Linked DNA regions of Macaca fascicularis. The protein of the gene in region 2 interacts with the protein of the main gene of each other region in a pairwise test. Links are inferred from orthologs where the notes say so. Each region holds a gene or a part of one and is shown on either strand. Other genes may lie near its edges.

What was found. The genes of interacting proteins can lie anywhere in the genome.
Region 1: the proteins of LRP1 (region 2) and MAPK8IP1 interact in a two-hybrid assay, tested with the Homo sapiens proteins (2 studies listed by BioGRID). The link is inferred for Macaca fascicularis from reciprocal best matches to the Homo sapiens genes LRP1 and MAPK8IP1.

Annotation. Positions count from the first base shown.
Region 1 is NC_088388.1:19,960,978-19,964,477, forward strand, and holds part of MAPK8IP1 (C-Jun-amino-terminal kinase-interacting protein 1), read right to left. Parts: intron 2,506-3,500; coding exon 2,188-2,505; intron 663-2,187; coding exon 581-662; intron 296-580; coding exon 1-295. UniProt on the Homo sapiens protein: The JNK-interacting protein (JIP) group of scaffold proteins selectively mediates JNK signaling by aggregating specific components of the MAPK cascade to form a functional JNK signaling module. Required for JNK activation in response to excitotoxic stress.
Region 2 is NC_088385.1:63,995,805-63,999,304, reverse strand, and holds part of LRP1 (prolow-density lipoprotein receptor-related protein 1), read right to left. Parts: intron 3,396-3,500; coding exon 3,276-3,395; intron 3,063-3,275; coding exon 2,949-3,062; intron 2,609-2,948; coding exon 2,459-2,608; intron 2,386-2,458; coding exon 2,263-2,385; intron 2,023-2,262; coding exon 1,906-2,022; intron 1,728-1,905; coding exon 1,599-1,727; intron 1,342-1,598; coding exon 1,219-1,341; intron 1,137-1,218; coding exon 996-1,136; intron 913-995; coding exon 722-912; intron 8-721; coding exon 1-7. UniProt on the Homo sapiens protein: Endocytic receptor involved in endocytosis and in phagocytosis of apoptotic cells. Required for early embryonic development. Involved in cellular lipid homeostasis.

The DNA of each region.
Region 1 (3,500 bases), on a different chromosome or scaffold from region 2:
AGGAAGGCGGAGGTGGGCTCTGCAGGGTCTGGGGGCCTCTGCACTGGGGTCAGGTAGATCTCCTCAGTGGCCTCTAGTCGCACATCGGCCTGGTAGTGGATTCGGTCTCGATGCGAGTGGCCCCGACCCCCAGGCGGGGCAGCAGGGGGACCCCCCGGAGGTGCCATCTGGGTGGCTGTGCTGCGGCGGCAAGGGCTGTCGGTGGAGGTGCCCCGGTCTGTGGTGGGGGCGGGGCTGCTCTGGGGGGGCAGCTCATCGCTCAGGCAGATGTGTTCATGTGGCGGCGTCTGCTCCCCTGGAGAGCAGGCAGGTCATGAAGGCAGGGGTTCTCTCCCAACTCCCAGCTGCCTGCACCCGCCACTCTCAGCTTGGTGACACAGAAACCAAGACAAAGCCTCTCTGGGGCCAGTCAACTCCCTCACGCTACCACTGATCTCACCCCCTGGATGGGCTTGTGCAGGGATGTGGGTGGACAGTTTACCTCTACTCAGCCCTTTGGAGACTGCAGGGTTTGCTCTCTGCAGTGGGGACTGAGTCAGGGCAGGCGGAGGTCCAGGTAAGGAAAAGGGCCCTGACTTACCTGTCTTCAGGGGTGAGGATGATCGAGACACCCGATCCTGCCAACTGTGCTTTTTGCCCAGAGAATTATTATTCAGTGTGTCCTGTGCGGGGAACAAAAGGCTCTTGTGATGGAAGTGGTCAACAGTGCCCGGCACAGGGAGGCCCCGGCCCTGCCCCCTCAGGCCATCCCTAGGGCCGTTTGCTGTGTTCACCCCGCCTCCACTGTCAAAGGCCTCACTCCCAACTCTCCTCTGGAGCAGGCAGGAAGGGTGGCAAGTCACAGCCAGGCTTGCTGGCTCCGGATGGCCTTCCGCCTTGCTCAGGGAAGCTGGTCAACCCTCAGGGAGATGCTCTTATCACCCTTAACAAAGGTGGTGATGGTCAATGTGTGTGGTGGCAAGAGGGGTAGGAGGTGGGGGAGAAGAGAAGCAGGAGCTCTCTGGAGACACAGTCAGATACCCAGTCCCAGACACTGAGGGTTACTTGGAAAATGCTCAAATCCAGCCCAAGTCAGAGACAGGTGATTCTCTGCTCTGGAGCTTGGGAAGTTATGGCCTAGAAGGGGTGGGAACCTTCTGGTAGAGCCTGGAAAAAGCACAAGGAAGGGTCTCCCCAGCAGCTGGCCTGGGGGACAGGGATGAATCATCCCAGTGACAAATCCATAACAGAGTTTTCCTGCACCCCGCACCACAGTGGCACGTGACTGAGGACTGACAGATGCAGTTGTCAGCAGCCCTCCTTCCTGGGTATCCCGGGCTGCCCATTCTACATTCTCAGCCCCGGGACCCCTCCCCACAATGCCCACACAGGGCTCCCTCCACTCCACGGAGGCTCCCTCCCCTGGGAGCTCTCTCCCAAGCCCTCACGTTCCTGAGCCAGGCTGCCAAAAGCCATTCACAGGATCCTGGGAAAGGGACCAAGCCTTTCCCTGCAGCCCCAGCAGCCCCACCTCCCAGGAGCTCCTTCCCTGCACTTCTCCTGATGAGCCTGGAAGACAAAGGGCCACAGCCGGCTCCCCCAACCCTATTCAACTCTCCTTGGCATCCAGCCACCCTCCCAGGGGCCCTAGGCCCCCAACTTAGCCAAGTAGCTCCATCCCCCATTCCTCTCCCCTGCCTTCCGGGAATCCCCAGCTGCCCAGATCTCAAACGGCCTGTGGCCCCTGAGCTCCCCATCCCCACCTCGCCACAATCTCCCATGGCCTCCCCGACGATGACCACTTCGGATGCCCTTTTCTCCAGGCCCCGCTTCTACCCCGCTTTCATCAGGAACCCCATACCCTAAAGGAGAAACCCTGCCACAGCCTGCGGTCCCACGCTCCAAACCCTTCGAACCCCTCAGAGCGTCATTCTCTTAATTCCCTACTCCTCTACAAACCCCAGTCCTTTCCTCCTTCAATCCCGCCTCAAGGCTCCAAGCCCGGCCAGCTGGACTTAGCCCTCTTCCTAAGGATGGTTCTGCCCGCTGCTCGGATCCCACCCCCGGGAGCAAGCCACTGCGGCCTCTATGCAGGCGCTGTCCCCAGACACTGGACCCGTGGGTGTCCCCTTCCGCTGCAGCCCCTCTGCGCTCCCCCTCACATCTCCGCGGCGGCCCAGGGCGCCGCCCCCCGCGTTGGCACCTCACCTGAGACCGCGGCACCTGCGGGAAGAGGTTGAGCGTGGTGGGCCGCTTGGGCCGGTACGTGTCCCCGCTGCCCGGGCCCTGGCCCTGGCCTTGGCTCTGGCCCTGGCCGCGGGACGCCGGCTCCTGGCCGGACTCGGCCTTGGGCGGCCCCGCTCCCGACGTCGTCCTCCTCGCGCGCTCCTCGTCGTCGTCCTCCTCGTCGTCCTCGGCCCCGGGAGTGTCCCCCGCCGCGTCGATCAGGTCCATCTGCAGCATCTCCGCCTGCAACCGGCTCCCCGCGCCGCCGCCGCCCGCAGAGAGCAGCCCGGCGCACGGGGGCTGCGTGGCGCACGGAGGGGCGTCAGGGGGCGGGGCCGGGGCGGGGCCGAGGCCGCTTGCACCGCCCCCCTCCCGGGCGAGTCCATTCTGCTGCGCGAAGGGGGCACGAGGCGAGCGGAGCAGGGGCCGCTGGAGACTGGGGCGCTCTCGCCCGCCGGCCGCTAGGAAGCGCGAGGCCGCCGCCTCCCGGCTCCAGCCGTGCCTCTGACTGCCTGCACCTCCCCACAGTCCCCACCCCGGACTCCTTGCGCCCTCCCGTTCCCCTGGCAACGGCCGGTGACCTCACTGGGGTTGTAAGCCGAGCCCAGAGTGAAGTCACCGCTGTTGCTATGGGGACTCAGTGGTCGCCAAGGAGTTCGGGGGGGGGGGGGGGGCGGCAAGGGATGGGGGCGGGGGAAATAGTATTTGAAGGCGACTTGAGGAAAACGGGAAAAACTGAGGCTCAGCCAGGCAAGGAACGGCGGAGACCTGAAAGGGATGGGAAGGGGACGCCGAGGGGGAGGGGCGAGCGGGGCCCCCGAACCAAGGCGGTGGAAGCCCCGTCCTAAGCCAGCCGGCCCAGGCCCCTCCAGCCCGAGATCGGCCCTCCACGAGTCTGCCTTGAAGATGCAGAGCCCCATCCTAGCTCCAGTTCTGCCGCCAACTCCCTGGCACCTTGGACAGATCCCCTGACCCTTCAGGCCCCTCATCAGTTGAGTGGGGACAACACTACTGCCTCCCAACCTCCAAGAGAGCTGAGTACTCACTGGAACGTGTGTGAAGCCCGCTGGAGCTTGTCTGAGGCCCCTCAGGGGCACACCTCTGGCCAGTAGTGCCTGGGGGCCCTGCCTAGCTGGGGGGCAACCCTCTCCAAGGCTCTGCTAGTGCAGCTGGGGGAGAGGGCAGGGTGAGAGTCCAGAACAGGTGCCTGACCTTTGAGAAGCTAAGTCAGGGCCCTGAGACCATTCCCCAAATCTAGAGGCCTCTGCCTCTTCCTGGCCTGGCCGGAGAGTGGA
Region 2 (3,500 bases):
AGCGGCACTGCAGGCACAGGGAGCCTTGGGCTGGGCGTGTGGCAGGGTCTGGGCCTCCCACCCTGGAGACCTGGCTCAGAGACTCCAATTCCTTCTACCCGGCCTCATTAGGGGCAGCAGCACATCGGTACTAAGTCCACCCAGCTGGCTGTCTGGCCTTCGCAGTCCAGGCCTCCTTCTGTGCGCCCCCGAGTGCCATTTGACAGAGCTGCGTGTGCCCTCCCCCTGGAAACGCTTTCTTCTCATGGCTGTTCTCCTGCCTCAGCAGCTGCTCCTTCTCAGGCTCTTCTGCTGGTCCCCTCACCTCCCTGCTCCTGGCTGTTGCTCAGCTTGGGGCTCAGACTTTGGACTGCTCTCTTCTCCACCTACACTGCTCCCTTGGGAATCATATCCAGATTCATAGATCCAAATAGCATCTCTATGGTGATAACTCCCAGACTTCCCTCTCCAACCTGGGCCTCTCCTTGAACTCCAGATCTGTGTATCTCTTGCCTACTTGACGCCTCACTCCTCTTTTCCTCTCACACTCCGTATATCATCTGTCAGCAAATCTGCTGGCTCTCTACCTGCCAGATAGAGGCAGACCCCAACCAAGCAGATTTCCATCTCATTCACTGCTGTATCCCCAGTGTCTAGGGGATGAATGAATGAATGAGGCAGTGGAAAAAGGCGTTCCTGGCACGTCTGGGGTGTGGAAGCTCCTCCCCAGGGCTGGGCATACCTTGAAGCCAATCTTGAGGTCCTCACAGTCCTGGCTGCAGCCACTGAGCTTGTGGCTGAGACACTCGTTGATGTGGCAGCCACGCTCATCCGAGCCGTCACCACAGTCATCCTGGCCATTGCAGAGCAGTACCTCAGCCACACAGCGCCCGCTGCTGCACAGGAACTGAGACGAGGCATTGCACTTGTGCTCTGCAGAGGGGCGGAGACAGCAGGTCAGCAGGGTCTCAGGCAGTCTGGGGAGGGGGCAGAGGGAAGCCAGGTCTGGGGCCCACCTGGGCTGGTGCAGTGTGGGTTCTTGGGAGCCTCGTCACTCTGGTCGTGGCAGTCATTCTCGCCATCACACTCCCACTGGCGGGAGCTCAGACAGCGCCCATTGGCACAGCGGAACTCACTGGGGCCGCAGGTCGGGTACTCTGGGGGAGGAAGGGACCTGTGAGGCTGACGCCCTGGCCCAGCGGAGGGCAGGGCCTCCTCCCGCCACCGCCGAGGGCTCACCACACTCGGGGGACTCATCGGAGCCATCTGCACAGTCACGGTCATGGTCGCACACGAAGTGCTTGGGGATGCACTGGCGGTTCTGGCACATGAACTCACGGTCGTCGCAGGTGCTGTTGTACACTGTGGACAGAGGTGGACACAGCTCTTCAGCCCTGCTCGGCCAGCAGCTGACCGTCCCCCACCCTGACCTCCTGTGGTTCTCCTGGTAGAGTGGGCGGGGCACTTGATGAGGAGTCTGGACACCTGGACTACAGCTATGGCTCCACCCCAGCAGACCCCGCTGAGGCATTTCCTCTCCTGCACCCCAGCTTCCCCATCTGCAAAGTGAGACTGGGGTCATTTGCTGTCCACCCGGTCCACACGGCCCCGCCACTCACAGCAACCAGCTGCGATGCTCTCGTCTGCACCATCAGCACAGTCTTTGTCACCGTCACAGAGCCAGCGCTCGGGGACGCACACGTGGGTGCCAGGGCAGGAGAAGGAGGAGGGGCCGCACGTCTTGCCTTCTGTGGGGGGAGAGGGGGCCATCGAGAGACTCAGGAGGGGGTGGATGAGGGCCAGCAGCAGAGGTGACGCACTCGCTGCTTCGCCATTGTCTGCAGGGGTGTCTGTGTGTGGGGTGGAATTGGGTGGAGTCTGTCTCTCCCTGGGGCACCTCCCCCAGCCCAATCCCAGCTTCCTCACCACAGTGAGCAGCCTCGTCCGAGCCGTCCCCACAGTCATCGCTGCCGTCACACAGCCACTGCTTGGAGATGCAGCGATGGTTCTGGCACTCAAACTGGGCCTCTGAGCAGAACTTGTCTGGGGCAGTCGGAAGCCACAGTTAGATGTGGAAGGGCGGGGGTCACCCACCTGGAGAGGCTGATGCCATGGGAAGGACAGGAGAAATGCCCACAGCAACCGTCTGTGGGGGGGCTCAGCAGCAGCTAGAGGCAGAGTGGGGCAGGGGGTGAAGGCCCTGGGTGCCCTTTTCCAAGGGGGGACTAAGAAGTGGGGCCCAGCAGGTTCTTGGAGCACTGAGTGGGTGCTGTGGTCACTCACTGCAGTGGGTCTCGTCCTCGCCGTGTTCACAGTCATCCTCCTTGTCACACGTCCAGCTCATGGGGATGCAGCGCCCACTAGGGCAGGCGAAGTAATTCAGGGGGCATCTGGGGCGTTTCACACCTGGGGGGCGAGGCAGGTGTGAAGGCCGTGCTCACCGCAGGCCACCGCCCACCACACACCTGCCCCTGCCCACCTGGGCAGTCGCGCTCATCACTGTAGTCCCCGCAGTCGTTGGCGCCGTCACACACCCAGCTGGGTGCGTAGCAGAGCGAGGTCCGCTCACAGGGCTGGAAGAGCACGCCCTTCACGCCCAGGCGGAAGTAGCTGCTGCAGTCAGTGGCACCTGGTGGGGGCAGGGGTGAGGGTGATTCCTGGTTCCCCCCGATCACCCCCCACTGGGGCAGTTGCCAGCCCTACGGTGCCTTCATGCTTTTCCAAAAGTTGAACAGTGCCCTTCCAGTGGGGCACTGTCTGCACCATCCGCTCACTACCCCCTCTCGGAACCCCATGAGAGCCCAGGAGCAGGAGCGGGATGGGGACAGGGCCTCAGGGAGATGGAGGCTGTCAGTGGGGACAGGGCAAGGCAGAGAGGAATATGGGCAGGTGCAGGAGGGCCTGAAGGTGGGAGATGCAGTGAGCGATGGGGAGGAGCCCAGGAGGTGCCAGCAAAGGGTGTCACTCACTGCAGTTCATCTCATCTGAGGCATCCTCACAATCCACAAACTGGTTGCAGCGGCTGGAGTTCCCGATGCAGGTCCCGTCCCGGCAGCGGAACTCGCCCACACCACAGGCTGTCTCTAGAACAGTGCCCGCCCCGTACCGTCAGGCCAGAGTTTTCTCTGTGTGGGCCAGGAGGACGCAGGACAGAGCTCCTGGCCCACAGCACCTGCCCTGGCCTGTCACAGAGTGCCTTAAACCAGACACCATGGGGCCCAGGGACAAAGCTCGGCCAGGGAAGGGTGGGGCAGGAACTGAGGTACAGATGGGTTATGCCAGTGCGCCTCACTTACTGTTGCAGGGGATCTCATCAGAACCATCCCCACAGTCGTCGGCCCCGTTGCACCACAGCATGTTGGACACACAGCGCCCATTGCTGCACTGGCGGAAAGTCTTCTTGCAGCGGCGGGAGTCTGCAGATGGAGGAGTAGGATGCGCATCAGCCACAGGCACAGGGAAAGGGCTGCCTCCCTGAGACATCATGCATGTGTCCAGCTGGCCGCCCCCCAACCCAAAGG